Linked DNA regions of Oryctolagus cuniculus. The protein of the gene in region 1 interacts with the protein of each later gene in a biochemical or structural test. Links are inferred from orthologs where the notes say so. Each region holds a gene or a part of one and is shown in the gene's direction. Other genes may lie near its edges.

Region 1 (7,691 bases):
CTGGTTTTGGTTTCGGTAGTTTGGGGAAACCATACCTGCCCCCTGTGGACTCACAGCAGAGCGGGGGGGGGGGGGGGGGGGGGGAGGGTAAGGTATCACCCGCCCACTTTGCTTATGCAGTCCCAGCTCCCCGGCGGGGTCTGACTGCATTTTGTATCCAGGAGGACAAAGAACAAGGCCTGGCCTCACACTGCCAAAGGAGACCTGAGCCTGGAGGGTGGGATGGCAAGGCTGCCGGGCCCAGGGTAAAGGCCTGGCTCCCATCTGGCCACAGCCCTTCTTTGCTTCCCTGGGTCTGAGCTGGGCTCCTCTGGTCTTTTCCCCTGAGTTTAGAAGCTGGCTTTGAGGCATGTGATCTGGCTGGGTGTGGCCTGTGGCCCTCACGTTATCTCAGCCTCTGTTCCGAGCCAGGAGGAGGGCCGGTGTCACAGAGGTTGAGTCTGACACGTCATCGGTCCTAGATTTAAGATGAGGGTGGGTCCCAAATATCTCAGGTAGAGTGGGAGAGGGAGGCAGCAAGGAGGGAGGGAGGGCCAGGGAATGTTGATACAGCTTGCGAAGGGAAGGAAATGTGTTTTTCCTAGAAATTTCTGGCATGCTCAGATTGGGTTGTGTGTGTTCATTTTAATCCCAGGGTTTGAGCTGTGCCAGTTAATAGCAGTGTGGCCTCTGGCAAGTCGCTTAATTGCCCCGTGGCTCAGTGCCTGCCTCTGTGGAGGCTGGGTTGTTCCAACCGCATGGCGTTGTTCTGAGCTGTAAATACATGAACGTGTGGAAAGCGGTGCGGAAGTCGCAGCAGGTGGGAAACGCCGTGACTTCCCTCCCCACGTCTGTGCCGCAGACGTCTGAGCAGAGGTGTGACAGTCTGGGAGACTGGTGATGCATAACGTGCCTTTGTTTCCGGAGGCAGCTGGGGCCAGGCAGTTCTGAATGAGCTTAACTGAGTTTCGGGGGCTGCACTGTTGACGCCTGGACTTCAGCCTCTGTGGGCTGTGTCGGCCTTATTCCTAACATTGGTGGTCCCAGCCCGCAGGGGGGCCAGGTGAGCCTTGGAATGTTGTCCTCTGTCGCCCTGAAGCTGACAAAGGCTCGCCCAGCTCTGCTCCAGGATTGTGGTTCCACAATCTCTTCTCCTTTAGCAGTGCCCCCCCCCCCCCCACCTCCCTCTTCGGTTTTCTGTCTGCTTTTCTGGTTGTTGGCTGTGGGAGGATTGAGCTAAACTACCTCTGCCATCACCCTGACAGCAGCTGGTCCCGGGTGGCTCTGTCTCCATGCCGGCGTGGCCACCTTTTTATTCTCCTCTCCTTGATGTTGTCAGCTGTAAAATGGGTAGGCCTGAAGATGCTAGCAGTAATGAGTGGAATAAAAGTTTGTACAAGAAAGAGTTTAGACGTGAGACAGAGTAGTGGTGAGTAAGGTAGTAGCAAGGTAGGGCATTTGTCAGAGCGGATGGGCCCCTCTCCAGATGGAATCCGAGAATGTCCAGTTTACATGAAGACTGGGGTTTGTAAGGGAGTGGGGTCCAGTTCTTCCCATCTGTCTCCTTCCGCTCGTCCATCTTCTCCTGGAAAGAGTTTTCTGGGTGAAATAGGTACAGTTCCTCCCAGGGTTTTATTCCCCAGTGTCATCAGGCAGGGCGGCCCACTTGGCGCTGGCAGGAGGGCAGGCGGGGATCACGTGCAGAGTTCTCAGGGCTATGGACAGGACTTTGCAGTGTGGAGACCCACGCTGCTGGAGGCTGCCCCCTTCCCTCCTCTGGTGCTTTGTTGACTTTAGGCTCCACACACACACACACACACACACACACACGGGCTGATCTCTAACTTCCTACCTGGCGAAGTCCCAGGTATGGGCAGGTGTGTTGTTCCAGGTAATCCTCCTTGATAGCCCTATGGGGTGGGAGCAGTTGTTTCTCTTTTATGGCCAATGAAACTGAGGTGGTGGGAGCTGTACAGCTGCAAACTGGGACTTGAGCTGGGTCCGTCTGACCCCACATCTGGTTCTCTGAACTTCCTTACTGTGCAGCCCCCCTAAAGGATGATGGACTGCTTCAGAAAGCTCTACACAGGCGAGACACGGGGTGGCCGAGCCCCTGTGGGATGGACTCAGGGGATGGCCCCTGGTGTTGGGGGTGAGGCTGACGAGGAGCTGTCTCACCCTTGTTTGTTTTCTCTGCAGAACAAGCTGAGGTACAAACTCACCATCATGTACAGTCAGATCAATGGGGCGTCGAAAGCGCTAGAGGATGTGCAAGCCAGGCAGCAGGGTGTGCAGGTGAGTGGCCAGGCCCTTGTCCACCACCAGGCGGGATGGGGGCAGCCCTGACCTTGACAAGGCTGGTGTTGGGTGCACTCACAAGCATCAGAATTCAGCACCAGCCTTGCAGAGCAAGCAAAAGCACTGTGTGCTCAGGAGAGACCCTTTGCAAACCCAAGTTGAAAACCACCCACAGGCCCAACCGTGGGGGAACCTTCAGAACTTGAGCTGGGGGTGGCTGCTGTGGTACAGTGGTTAAACCACTGCTTGGGATACCCGCGTCCCATGTCAGAGTGCTGGTTCGAGTCCCGGCTCCCCTGCTTCTGATCCAGTTTCTGCTAGTGTGCACCCTGGGAGGCAGCAGGTATTGGCTGAAGTGCTTGGGTCCCTGCTGTCCTCATGGAAGACCCAGAGTTCTGGGCTCCTGGTGTCAGCCTGGCCCAGCCTTGGCTGTTGCAGGCACTTGGGGAGTAAACCAGTGGATGGAAGCTTGCTTGCTCTCTTTCTCTTTCCCTCTCTGTGTGTTATTATGCCTTTCAAATAAATAAGCATAAAAAAAAAGAACTAAAATGTAGGAATATAAAGAAATGATTATGATCTGAAATGGGAGAAAAACAGGAAGCCAATATCCACTAGAGTTGCATCTTCCCTAAAAAGAGTGTTGTTTCCTGGGGCGCTGTAACAAATTGCCACAACCTTGGCGACTGAAACAAATGAAACTCATTCTTTCCCGGTTTTGGAGGCTGGAAGTCCAAAATCACAACGTGGGCGGGATCAGTTGCAGCATGGGTGGGGTCACACTGCTCTGACAGCTGTGACCGAGAGGCCATTTTTGCCTCTCCCAGCTCCAGCCCCTCAGGCTGATGGCTTTGTGGCTGTGTGGCTCCAGTCTCCCCCTCCTTCCCCTCTGTGTTTCCAAACACCTGTCAAATAAAAACAAAACACCTGTCTTTAGATTTAGGGCCCACCAGCATAATACAGGGTGATCTCATGTTGAGATCCTCAATTTAATTACATCTGCAAATACCCTTTACTGGGAGGCAGGTGTCGGGGGATAGGGAGGGAAGGCAGCATTGGATCCATTGCAGGGAGTATAGGAGAAAAGATAGGAAGGGAGAATTTTTTTAAAAAAGATTTTTTATTTATTTGAGAGGTAGAGTTACAGACAGAGAGAGGGAGAGACAGAGAGGTCTGTCATCTGCTGGTTCACTCCCCAAATAGCTACAGTGGCCAGGGCTGGGCCAGGCTGGAGCCAGGAGCTGAGAAATTCATCACAGTCTCCCACAGGCCCAGGTGCCTAAGCACTCAGGCCATCTTCCGCTGCCTTCCCAGGTGCATTAGCAGGGAGCTGGGACTCGAACCGGCGCCCACATGGATGTCTGTGTCTCAGGCTGCAGGTTGACCTGCTGCACCACAACGCTGGCCTCTGCTAACACATCTTGATTTGGACTAGCCACGTCTCAAGGGCTGGGAATGGAGCACAGGCACTCTGGTGTGGGATGCGGGCATCTTGACTGGCACTTCAGCTGCGAGGCTCAGTACTCAGCCGCTCCATGCATTTCTTTACGTGCTATCTCATACACGTATGCATTCTGTAGCAATCGATTCTGCCCTTCTGTTTGTTTCTCAGCTTTACATAAACAGCTGCTTCTCCAAGTCTGTGTCTTCTTCAAGTTGTTTTTCTCTCTTGGAGCTTTATCCCTGCATGGCTCCAGTTTATTAATCCTCATAACCATTTGGCTTTCCGTCCTGTGAACAGCTCTGTCTCAAGTCTTCTGCTGACAGATTTCCGGGTTGTTCCCAGGTTCTCGCTGTTTCAAAGCGTGTCACTTATGAACATTCTTGTGTGTGTCGCTGAGGCAGGTGTCAGGGCATTTTCCCAGAGTGCTTTCCTAGGATCGCAGCCACCGAGTCATTGGGCACAAATGCCTCCGAATTTCCTAGACTGCCTGGTTGCTGCCCAGGGTGGCTGTGCTGGCTCCTACTGCTACAGGGCACAAGTCAGAGTTTCTGGTGCTCTGCCTCTCACCCACCTTGGGATGGCAGCTGTAGCAATTTTTTTTTTTTTTTTTTTGCCCATCTCACGGTTCTTCTCTTGCCTCGGCCCTCTTAGGAGGCTACAAACAGGAAGATAGAGCAGCTGCGACAAGAATACCTGGAAATCAAGGCTCTCATCGATGCCTCGGAGGCCAGCTCGACTCGAAAGATAAAGGAAGAGGAGAAGAGAGTGCACAGCAAGTTGGACACCATTCACCAGGTGCTCCTCAAGAAGAAGAGCGAGATCCAGGCCCTGAAGGAGAAGATCGAGGACGGCCTCAAGGAGGGGGACGAGTTTGAGTTTCTGGAGGTGGGTGGCAGGGCCCGGGACTGCCGGGTCTCTTAGCGATACGGTGGGGCCTGGTGCCGTCGGGCTGCAAGAGGTCAACAGAAGTATCTCTGAGTTTGCTGGGTTGCGACAGGACTTCAAGAACGTACCGCAGCCCCAGGGCTTAGAGCTGCTCAGCGGCTCCCTGGCCCTGGAGTATGGGCATGGCTCCGTCTGCGCAGGAGCTCACGACGCCAGCATCTGGGGGCTGGCTGGGCTGCGTTCCTTTTGGAGCGCACATGGCGTGGCCGTTGTTGGTAGAATTCATTTCCTTAGGGTTGAAGGAATGAGGTCGCCCCCTCCTTGCTGGCTGTCAGCCAAGGCCTCTCCCAGCTTGGTAGCTTCCTTCCTCAAAGCTAGCAGGAGAGCTGCTCCCTCGAGGAAGGCCTGGTCCTCCTTTTACCTGATTGTCTGGCTCACCCGAAAAAATCCCCCTCTGGATGAACTCCAGGTCAACTGATTCGGGGTCTTCTTGTTGTTTGTTTCTTTTTTTTTTTTTACTTTTTAATTTTTATTTTATTTATTTATTTTTACTTTTTTTATTTTTTTGACAGGCAGAGTGGACAGTGAGAGAGAGAGACAGAGAGAAAGGTCTTCTTTTTGCCGTTGGTTCACCCTCCAATGGCCACCGCGGCTGGCGCACTGCGGCCGGCGCACCGTGCTGATCTGATGGCAGGAGCCAGGAGCCAGGTACTTATCCTGGTCTCCCATGGGGTGCAGGGCCCAAGCACCTGGGCCATCCTCCACTGCACTCCCTGGCCACAGCAGAGAGCTGGCCTGGAAGAAGGGCAACTGGGACAGAATCCGGTGCCCCGACCGGGACTAGAACCCGGTGTGCCAGCGCCACAAGGTGGAGGATTAGCCTATTGAGCCACAGCGCCAGCCCTGTTTGTTTCTTTTTAAAGATTTATTTATTTGAAAGGCAGAGTGATAGAGAGAGAAGAAGACACACATACACACACACATACACAGAGAAAGAGAGAGAGAGAGAGAACTTCCATCTGTTGTTTCTCTCCCCAAATGGCCACAACAGCCAGGTGTAGGCCGGGTCAAAGGCAGGAGCCAGGAACTCCCTCCAGGCCTCCCGCATGGGTAGCAGGGGCGCACACACTCGGGCCAGCCTCTGTTGCCCAGGTAACCCCTCTGAAAGCTGGATGGAAGCAGAAGACCCAGGACTTGAACCAGCACTCCATTATGGGAGGCTGGCCTCACAATCAGTGATTAACCCACTTTGCCACAATGCTGGCCCCTGAGTGGGGGTCTCAATTACACCTGTAACATTCCTGCCTCTGCTTGTAACCCAATCATGGGAGTGATATCCTGCCGCATCCCCCACGCCTCCCCCTCAAAGACCAAGGATTATATGGGGTGTGCTCCCCAGAGGGAATGGGGATCTTGGGGGCTGTCTCAGAATCCTGCCTTCTTCACACCCCATCCTCTTCCTCTTTCCTGCCTTTCTTTTCACTGCCCCCAGACCCCTGCCCTTCATGGCTCCATCCCTCTTCATGTGGCCCACAAGGTTCTTGGCGACCAGATCTTGCCTCGTGTCTTGCCACCTGCTCTCCCAGCCCATGTCCTGTGCCATGACCATGGTGGGGAATCACCATTCCCAGATGGAGTGGGCACTGGGCGAAAGGCCACACTTGACCTCCTCGTCCCTGGACGCCGCGCCCTCCTTCCAAGGCCAGCTCCGGTTTCCCCGTCTTCTTGGGATCCGTTTTTCTTACCTTGATGGATATTGCGGAGCACGTCCCCCTGCCTCTCCTGGAGCACTGGTGGCATTGTAGCATGTCTGTTGCCATGGTAACCCATCCTGTTCCCTCGCTCCTTGCGTCTCTAATGTCCAGCACAGTGGGCCTGGTGGGGCATCTGGGTTCCCTGCCACCGCCCTTGAAAGGCGTAGGTCCTGGGAGAGTACAGGAGCGGTGGGAGCTTCTCCCTGTGCATGAAGCCCAGGCTGGCGGGCGTTCGATTTCATCCCAAGTGCTCACACCTGTAGTCGAGGACGCTGCCTCGACCTCTGAGACGGTTTCTGAGTTGACAGCCAGGGCTCTTGATGCTGCGTGGCTGTGTTTGGTCTAAAAGTTTGTGACCTTCCATCAGACGCTGCCTTCCCCCAGGACATGTCCTGTCCCAACTCTGCACCTGCTGGATGATGGCGCTGTCCATTCTCAGAGGTTGCAGGATAGACCTGGCCCTGGCCGCCACTGCCTCTTCTCCATACCCAGCAGGAGGAGTGGGAAGAGCTTTGTCCTGAGGCCCAGGCAGCCTCACTCCCAGTCGTGTCAGTGCCGGGAAATGGTGGATTTCCCAGGAGACCGCTTATCGTGCCTAGAGCTCAGCTTCCCCACCTGTAAGATGAGAAACCTCTGAGGTTCCTGGATCTTAAAGTGGCGCCTCAGCTCTGGGTGACTTCCGGCCTGTGCTGGAGTAGGCTGCCTGAAGTTAGCACCGTAGGCCCAGGGGAGCTCCTCCCGAGGCACTGGCCTCCCTGGAGCTGCCTGCACTAATCCCCTGGCTTCTTCCAGAAAGCCTCAAAACTGCAAGGAATCGTGACGAAGCCAGTGTACGTCCCCAAGGTGGAGCTGGATCATGAGCTGATACATTGCGTCTACCAGGGCACCTTGGACTTAAAAAATGAGCTGAAGCGGGCTACCAGGCAGCTCCAGGAGAGGAAGCCCAAGGAGGCCCCAGGCCCAGGTAACCCCTAGCAGCCCTGATGCTGTCCCCTGCTGAACTCTGAGCCCGGGGTGAGCTGCTCGGTGTTTTGGCAGGGGCGGGGGTAGGGGTGGGGGCACGTGATCCAGAGCTTTGGGGTTGGCATTCCAGGGGTCGCCTTCCATTTGCCAGGTGAAGTCCCTGCTTTATCTTGACATTGATGTTGCCGTGAAACATGGTATGAGGCTTGATGTTATAATAGGACTTCCAGGACAGGCTCTGTCTGTGACCCCGAAGCCAACTTGCACGGGTTCTGAATAGACTCAGGGTTGTCAGTGCGTTTGGTGAGGGAATGATGAGTTTGAGAACCCATAAAACCTGGACTTCCTCCCCAGCAGCCCCCCTCATTCTG
Region 2 (8,452 bases), on another chromosome or scaffold:
GAGTGCAGAGTTCTGCTCCAGGACGTGGGGCTCCCTGGTATTCCCTTGTCCAACTGTGACAAGAGGACAAGACAAGATCAGCAATGAGGGTGTGGGGCCCCCAGCCAGGGAAGCTCCTGAGGTCAGCTGAGATGCTAGCAAAGGGTGAGTGAGCAGTGTCGGAACGGACTGGAAAGACGTGCGGGGACCAGTTGTGGTGGAGGAGCCACAGCTCAGTCCAGTAACTTCTCTCCCCAGCAGCTCTGCAGGAAGCACTGTTCCCCGACTACAGACGGAGAAAGCGTGGACTAGAGCTGACACCGCGTGTGGCTCAAGTCCCCCTTCAACCCAGGGTGAAGGGCCGCCACAAAACATACCAGACCCCGGAGTAAGGGAAAGAGCTTATTGCAGGAAACCCGACAGACTGGAGGGAAGGGGTGAAGGAGGAAAAGAGGGAGGAGAGCAAAAGAGAGATCGAGAGAGAGATCAGGAGATGGAGAGAAAGAGAGATCAGGAGATGGAGGGAGAGAGAGATCAGGAGACGGAGAGAGAGAAAGATCAGGAGACGGAGAGAAAGAGAGATCAGGAGATGGAGGGAGAGAGAGGAGAGAGCCATGTGTTCAGGAGAAGGTCTTTTTTTTTTTTTTTTTTTTTTTTGGACACATAGAGAAGATAGTGAGAGAGAGAGACAGAGAGAAAGGCCTTCCTTCCGTTGGTCCATCCCCCAATTGGCCGGTGCTGCGCCGATCTGAAGCCAGGAGCCAGGTGCTTCCTCCTGGTCTCCCATGCGGATGCAGGGGCCCAAGCACTTGGGCCATCCTCCACTGCTATCCTGGGCCACAGCAGAGAGCTGGACTGAAAAAGGAGCAACTGGGACTAGAACCCGGTGTCCATATGGGATGCCGGTGCCACAGGCAGAGGATTAACCAAGTGAGCTGGCACAGGCCCCCCAGAGCAGGTCCTTTTAAATCTTTGCCGGAGGGCGGGCAGGGAAGCAGGAGCAGCAAATCCCATTAGGATGGGGGTGGAGCTTGAAAACAGTGGTTGGGCCCTGTGGACACCTAGCTTCCAGCAATGGCGGCTAGGAAGTCAGATACGAGCTTGCATGTGTGTGTGTGTGTGTGTGTGTGTGTGTGTGTGTGTGACAAAGGCCTGAAGAGAAGATGTCTTTGTTCTGCCTGATAACCTTCCAGGTGCAGCCCAGTATCTGCACTTCAAACGCCCTCCCTGCCCTTCCTCTGGGGCAGCCAGACCCCCCCCCCCTCTGATAACTCAGATAGAAGTTTTTCTATTTACATCCAAAAAGCCCTTTGTTCCAAGAGGAGCAGAGGTGGAGAAGCGAGACCCATCTCCTTAAAACCCCCAGCCTCAACCGGACTGCGCGCTCAGCCCTCTGCCTCTCTGCTGAGCTGCCCCTGGCCTGGCCAGGTGTACTCTCCACTCAACCATGTAACCCCACTCTTGCCCAGTCCGAGCGACTGGGCACTCTCAGGTCCTGTCTGGAGAGGTGCCCATCCGTTCTTGCAGATGTCCCTTCCCTAATAAACCTTGCTATTTGCTTTTCACTCTCTCTCTCACGCCTGAATTCTTGCAGGAAGACAAGAGCGCTGCCATTCTCTGGGGGCTAGAGCTTAGGATGTAAATCAGGGTGTAGATCGCGCCATAGATAAAACTGCCTTTTCCTAACACACACCCGGGAACTCCTCTGCACGTCTCATTGCAGGTCAGCATTCCCTTCCTGGAGAGTCCTGTGGCAGGTTCAGAAATTCCCCCCAAGCCCCCTGTCCCTCACATCAGTCCTCGGGGCTGCGGGCGGAGGGGAATTCTGTCCTCATTCCCAGCCACCCCGCCAGGCTGGCCCCTTTACCGTCTGTCTCCCCACACTTTGACATTCCTCATTTCTTCCAAGCACATCCTGCCTGGACACAAGCCTGGTCTCAAGCTTCGTGTGTTCGAGAGTAAGGGCCCCACGGAAGGCAGTCGGTGAGCACTCTGAACTGAACTGACCTGAGAGGAGAGAGTGCCTGGGGTCCTGTCAGGCCACAGCCAAGGCCAAGGAGGTGAAAGTCAACCAAAGCAGCGGCCACTGCGCGGAACAAGAGCCGGACCGTTCCACGTGGGCCCGTCTGGCTGATCTGCACACCACGCCCTCTGTCCCCAGAGCTGTCAGAGAGCTGCAGGCCGTGGGAGGGGCCGGCCTGAGCCCAGAGCAGCGCACTGGCAAGGGCAGTGCCTTCCGGGACCAGCTTCCCCTGACAGGGGGTTTGCATCGCTGGGCAGAGCCCTGGCCCCTCTGCGGCCCTCAGCTCTGGGCCTCCCCCATGCCCCCCCCCACCTCCACGGACAACCACGAATCTCTGGCATTTGGGCTTCACCCTGGACAGAGGCCTTTATCTAGGCCCTGCCTAAGGTTGTGGGTCTGTCAGGCTTCGCGGCTTCTGGGGGTCCTGTTGCAGGCATCGGGGAAGAGGGGTGACCTGTTCACCTACCTGAATTACCACACTGAAGAGAATCCCCGGACCATGTTGCAGAATTCTAATCTGGTAACCGAGTTCTACGCTTTTCCGCATCTGGTCAGCGGCCACTTCTTTTACTTGGGCGTGTTGGGAAGAAAAAACTTCCCTCTTCCAACGTGGGTCCAGCCCTGTGCCGGGGCCTGCATACTAGCCAACACCACCCACATCACCAACGTGTTTGTGTGTGTGTGTGTGTGTGTGTGTGTTTCCTAAAGGAACTGTTTATCTAAGGATTACAAATTTTGTAAGGGCAACTTTAGGAATATAGTCGATCCTCCCACTATACTTGCCCTCCCACCCACCTCCTCCCTCTCCCATTCCCAGGCCCATTCTCCATTAAGTAAAAAAACAACAAAAAACCTATTCCTGGACCGTCAAGACAAGGGCTGTTCAAGTCATTGCTTCTCCAAGTGTCTATTTCAGTCCTACAGGTATCCTTTTAGGCGCTCCATTGGTTATCACAGATCAGGGAGAACCTGTGGTATCTGTTAGTAAAATGGCGCTCTCTTATCTGTGGCGCGATCTATGCCGGACACCATCCAAAGCTATGGCCCCCACCACAGCTGCTGGAAGTCAGGTGACCACAAGTCCCTACCACCGGGGTCAGCTCCACCCCGACCCTAGGGGATTCGCTGCTCCTACTTCCCTGCCCGCCCCCTGGGGTCTTGAGCTTCTCTCTCTCTCTCTCTCCCTCTCCCTCTCTCTCTCTCTCTCTCTCTCTCTCTCTCTCTCTCCTCTCTCTCTCAGCTCTCACCCTCGCGCCCTCTCCCCCACCCGACTATAAACCTTTCCGGTGGCCGGTGTGTCTGTGGCGGCCTCACGATTTGTCCCTTTGGGACTGGCTTATTTAAGCACGATGTTTTCCAGATTCATGCATTTCGTTGCAAACGCGGGATTGGGTTTTTTTAATTTTTCTTTTGCCGCTGTGTAGTATTCCGTAGACTGCACCTGCGGGCGGGTTTCTGCGGTCTCAGCAGGGCAGTGCGGGAGCTTCCTCCTGGCGCTGTGATGCGAAGGCGGGGTCGCCCAGGTCCCGGGGCCGGGGAATACGCGGGGAACCGTCGGCCGCGTGGAGGGGCGGGAGTAGGCGGCGGGCTCAGGGCGCTGCGCTTCTCCTAAAAATCATGTGTGTGCCGCGCCGGGGGCCGAGCAGAACCCGTCCAGCCCGGGCCGCGTCCGGCAGGCCCCTCGGCGACTTCTCGCTGTCACGCTGTGCGCAGGAACCGGTCAAGAAGTGGCTGTCCAAAAACACCGTGAGGTGGCAAAAGAACATAATAGAGATAATAATAATAATAAACAACAGAGAAACGAAGCGGGGGCGTGGGAAGGCCGCTCCCTGGGGGGCTCGGAGGGGCGCGGCGGCCGTCGGGGCTCCGCGGAAGGCGGCTCCCTCGCCCCGGGGCCGCGCGCCCTGCTGGGGCGGAGGCGCTGGCCGGGGTCGGCTCCCCCCGGCCCACACGCGCGTCACGCGCGCCGGAGCCCCGACGTCGGTTTCACTTCCTCTTCGCGCGGGGCTGGGGGACTCTGGCCCCGCCGAGCCCGGAGCCGCGGCACGCAGCGCCGGCGGCCGCCCGCCCGGGGCGCGCGCGGACCCTCCGCCCGCCCGGCGGCCCCTGGAGGGACCCGCGTCGGGGAGATCCCGCCTCCAGCCGAGACGGAAACCGAAACCGCCGGCTCGCCTAGCGGCCCCGCCCGCCCTCAGGACCCTGGTCAGTTTCGATTCTCGGCGCAGCCTGCGAGCCGGCGAGCGCGCGCCATGGCGGACCCCGGGGTGTGCTGCTTCATCACCAAAATCCTGTGCGCCCACGGCGGCCGCCTGGCGCTGGACGCGCTGCTCCAGGAGATCGGGCTCCCCAAGGCGCAGCTGTGCCACGAGCTGGAGGCGGCCGGCCTCGAGCGCTTCGTGGTGCTGGAGACGGGCGGCAAGGACGGGGTGTCCTGCTCCGTGGTGGCCACCACTCCCGTCCGAATCTGCCGTCGCAAGCACTGCGAGAGGCCCTGCGGGAAGCTGCACCTGTGCAAGCTCAACGTGTTGGGCCGCTGCCACTACTCGCAGGCGGAGCGGTGAGTGCCTCCGGCGTCCCCAGGCCCCTTCCCCCGCGGCCGAGGCCAGGCTCCCCGTCCGTGCCCCCGCGCGCTGCGCCCTTCGGGGAAGCCGGCCGCGGGCGCGGGCCTGGGCTCTGCCGTCGCGGGTCTTCCTCCGCCGCCTTCGCCCCAGACGTGCGGCCGGCACCCGGCCCCGCGCGCCTCAGGCTGCGCGACCTGCGCCCCGGCCGTCCCCACTCGGCTCCCCGCGGCCGGAGTGGGGTCCTCCAGGGTCAGCGAAGGTGCGCGGGGTCGCCGGCGGGGCGCTCGGAGCGGCGGTCGGCGCGCTGCACGGCCCCAGCCCCGGCTGCGTCCGGCGTCCCTCCGGCCCTCTGCGGCCTCCCGCCTGCCTCCCTGCCCCGGCGCGCACCTGCGGAGTTCGGAACGGGTCCCTCCCGCCGGACTGCTGGTTTTTCCTGTTGGAGGACTTGTCGCCAACATGGTGCAGCCCGGGCCCCTCGCCTCCCGTGCGTGTTACGGAGGAGGAGGTTTTTACTGGATGAGGTAGATCATGTTTGTGAAAATGATGTGTTTAGAGCAAAAGCTGTTTCGGTTCGCCCTGCAACTTTATTTACTTTTACTTATTAGAGAGGTAGGGTTGCAGAGAGAGAGGTCTTCCGTTCACTGGTTCACTCCCCAGATGGCCGCAAAGCCGGAGCCAGGAGCTTCCCCCGGGTCTCCCACGCGGGTGCAGGGCCCCAAGGACTTGGGCCATCCTCCGCTGCTTCCCCATCGCCCCGTAACTTCAACGAAAAGCGCTTGAATGTGTTCCCTTACATAAATGCTTATTGTTTCAACACTTTGGGAGTCTGAGGTCAGAAAGTTGTGTGTCTAGACGGAGTCATCTAAATCGCTCAACTGAAGACACGGCTAAGGAGGGTAGAGGTCGGAGAGCGGGATAACAGGGAACAACATTCTAGTACATTCTAGCACCATATTGAAGAACAACGAGGTTGGAAGGCGTTCTTTTTAATTTTCTGTTCTCTGTTCTGTTATGAAAAATTCTTAGTTAACTGGGGTTGACTTAATTTTAAACTATCTCTTTTTAAAAGATTTATTTATTGGGAGTGAGTAAAGCTGCTGCCTTCGACCTTGGCAAATATGCCTGGGCAAGCAATGGGGACATGGCCCAACTGCTTGGGCCCCTGCACCTGCGTGGGATTCCCGGAAGAAGCTCCTGGCTCTTGGCCCCAGCCTGGCCCCGGTCCTGGCCATTGTACCCTCTTGGGGAGTGGGCCAGCGGATAGTAGATCTCTCTCTCTGTGTCTCTCTCCCCTCTCTGTAACTCTGCCTCTCAACTAAATAAAATAAACCTTAAAAAAGAGATAATTTTATTATTTGAAAGGCAGAGTTGGAGAGAGAGGCAGACACAGAGATCTTCATCCACGGATTCACTCTGATGGCCTCAACAGCTGAGGCTGAGCCAGGCGGAATCCAGGAGCCTGTACTCTGGGTCTCCCACGTGAGCAGCAGGGGCCCAAGTGCCCGGGCCGCCCCTTGGGGCTTTCCCAGGCACATAAGCTGGAAGCTAGATCAGAAGTGGAGCAGACGGGACTCAAACCAGTGCTCACATTTGATGGCGCCTTCAGGTGCGGCCTAACTCTGAGCCACAGCACTGGCCCCTAAGCACTATCTTCTTATTTTTAAAGATTTTTACTCAGTGTTTCCAGTGCAGTCAAAAGCAGAGGCAAGAGAATAGTGAACCTCGGCGTACCCACTGTTTGGATTCAGTAGTTCTCAAAGTGTGACAGTCTTGTGTCCTGTGTTCTGTCTTTCCCAGCGCCTACATGTAACTCCGGGTGCTGTTCTAAGGCAAATTCCAGCTATCGTTTATAAGCATCTCATTATCTCCAGAAGATAAGGTCTTTACTTCGTTTATACAACCACAGAATGATTGCATTTTTAAAATAGATTACAATTTTAATATTCGTGACTGTGTTATAAATACAACTTGCATTTTCAGGAAAAACCTATGCTACAAAACCTATAATTGTTTCAATTAGCTATATGCACTATGTTTGGAAATTTTCGTTTTATGATTTTTATTATGGTAGCTTTAATTTTTTGTCCTGGTTTGAAACATCAAAACTATTTTATTTTATTTTTTTTAAGATTTATTTTATTTATTTGAAAGGCAGATTTACAGAGAGAGTGAGAGACACAGAGAGATCTTCCATCTTCTCGTTTGCTCCCTGAATGGTCAAAATGGCCAGAGCTCGGCCAGGCTAGAGCCAGGAGCCAGGAGCTTCTTCCAGGTGCCACGTGGGTGCAGGGTCCAAACACTTGGGCCATCTTCCACTGCTTTCCCAGGTGCATTAGCAGGGAGCTGGATTGGAAGTGTAGCTGCTGGGACTTGAACCGGTGCCCATACGGAATGCCAGCCCTGCAGGTGGCGGGTTAACCCAGTATACCACAGTGCCGGCCCCAAAACTACATTAAACTCATCTATTGGGATGTTTACCTGGAGCTTTTCTGTATTTTAAAAGAGTGAATGTAATGCAGGAATTGTTTGATCTATGCAAGTTTGGATGGGCCCTCCAGAGGGCTTACTCAAGTCTGATTTCTTACACGTACTGGTCTATACACATTTTAAGTTTATTTTTATGTCACTTTTTAATTTTGGAGTCACAAAGTTTAAAGCATTCTTATTTATTTATTTGAGAGACGTGTCATCCGCTGGTTCCAGGCAGCTGGAATCAGGAGCTGGCGGGAGACACGGAACCGGGAACCCAATAAGGGATGAAGACATCCTGCCGGTGTCCCCTCGGCTGAGTGTCTTCCCCAAAATTACCAATTTTCATGCTTTAACGTATAGAGTATTCTAATAAGGACCTCCAGGAATTTTTTTTTTTTGCCTCGGAGGCTATCATGTGTTTTTTTCTCCCCAAATATGTTTTTAAAAATACTCTTCCTTAGCAGCTTTACAAACCTTTATCTTCCCACCTGTGACACTCGAGAAGTGAAGGTCCTTTTGTGTGTATCGTGTGTTGTTGGGGTCTCTTAGCCGATCGACTCCCATAACAAGGCTTTATTCGGACCAGTGAACTCTCCTTTGTTATATGCGGTTGAGTTGCATTTTTTTGCTAAGCTTAAAATAAAAATTTTCCTTGTAGAGTTATTATTATTGTGTTTATTTTAAAATGTATTTAGTTGCATGCATTTCATAACCACATTAGGAACACAGTAATTCTTCCCCCGTACCCACCTTCCCATCCTTCTTCCCTCTCCTATTACCTGTCCTGTTTTTCACTAAGATCTGTTTTCACTTAACGTTATATACAGCGGATTAAAGTTATTATTTATGGAATGAATTTCTATCTTGTAGTTCCTCTCTTTTGCAATGCTTCTTGTGATATAGTTTGCTCAACAAAAGGAGTTGCTTTGGTGTTGGAAAATTATTCGTTTCGGTGCATTGGTTTGTATGTTTCTGTTTGCTTTGCTGAGCGCGTGCCCACACATGGAGCGCAAATCCCCGTTCTGACACAAACAATAGCTGCCCTCTGTTGAACAAACGACCGCGAAGCAAGCACCGTGGCGAGCAGGGACCAGCGCCAGGCGGCTTCCTTGACGGCAGCTCTGTGGAGTGAGATCTGGCAGCCATGCAAGTGGTTCTTTTTGCACGCGTGATTTCTGTCGAACTGTTTTTTTTTTTTTTTTTTTTGACAGGCAGAGTGGACAGTGAGAGAGAGAGACAGAGAGAAAGGTCTTCCTTTGCCGTTGGTTCACCCTCCAATGGCCGCCGTGGCCGGCGCGCTGCGGCCGGCGCAGCGCGCTGATCCGATGGCAGGAGCCAGGAGCCAGGAGCCAGGAGCCAGGTGCTTTTCCTGGTCTCCCATGGGGTGCAGGGCCCAAGCACCTGGGCCATCCTCCAC

The links.
Region 2: of the proteins of TRIM25 (region 1) and ZC3HAV1, one has a biochemical effect on the other in vitro, tested with the Homo sapiens proteins (2 studies listed by BioGRID). The link is inferred for Oryctolagus cuniculus from reciprocal best matches to the Homo sapiens genes TRIM25 and ZC3HAV1.

What each region holds. Positions count from the first base shown.
Region 1 is NC_091448.1:32,513,894-32,521,584, reverse strand, and holds part of TRIM25 (E3 ubiquitin/ISG15 ligase TRIM25), read left to right. Parts: intron 1-2,178; coding exon 2,179-2,274; intron 2,275-4,369; coding exon 4,370-4,603; intron 4,604-7,149; coding exon 7,150-7,321; intron 7,322-7,691.
Region 2 is NC_091434.1:184,859,567-184,868,018, forward strand, and holds the start of ZC3HAV1 (zinc finger CCCH-type antiviral protein 1), read left to right. Parts: upstream 1-3,902; 5' UTR 3,903-4,251; coding exon 4,252-4,559; intron 4,560-4,950; exon of another isoform or gene 4,951-5,140; intron 5,141-8,452.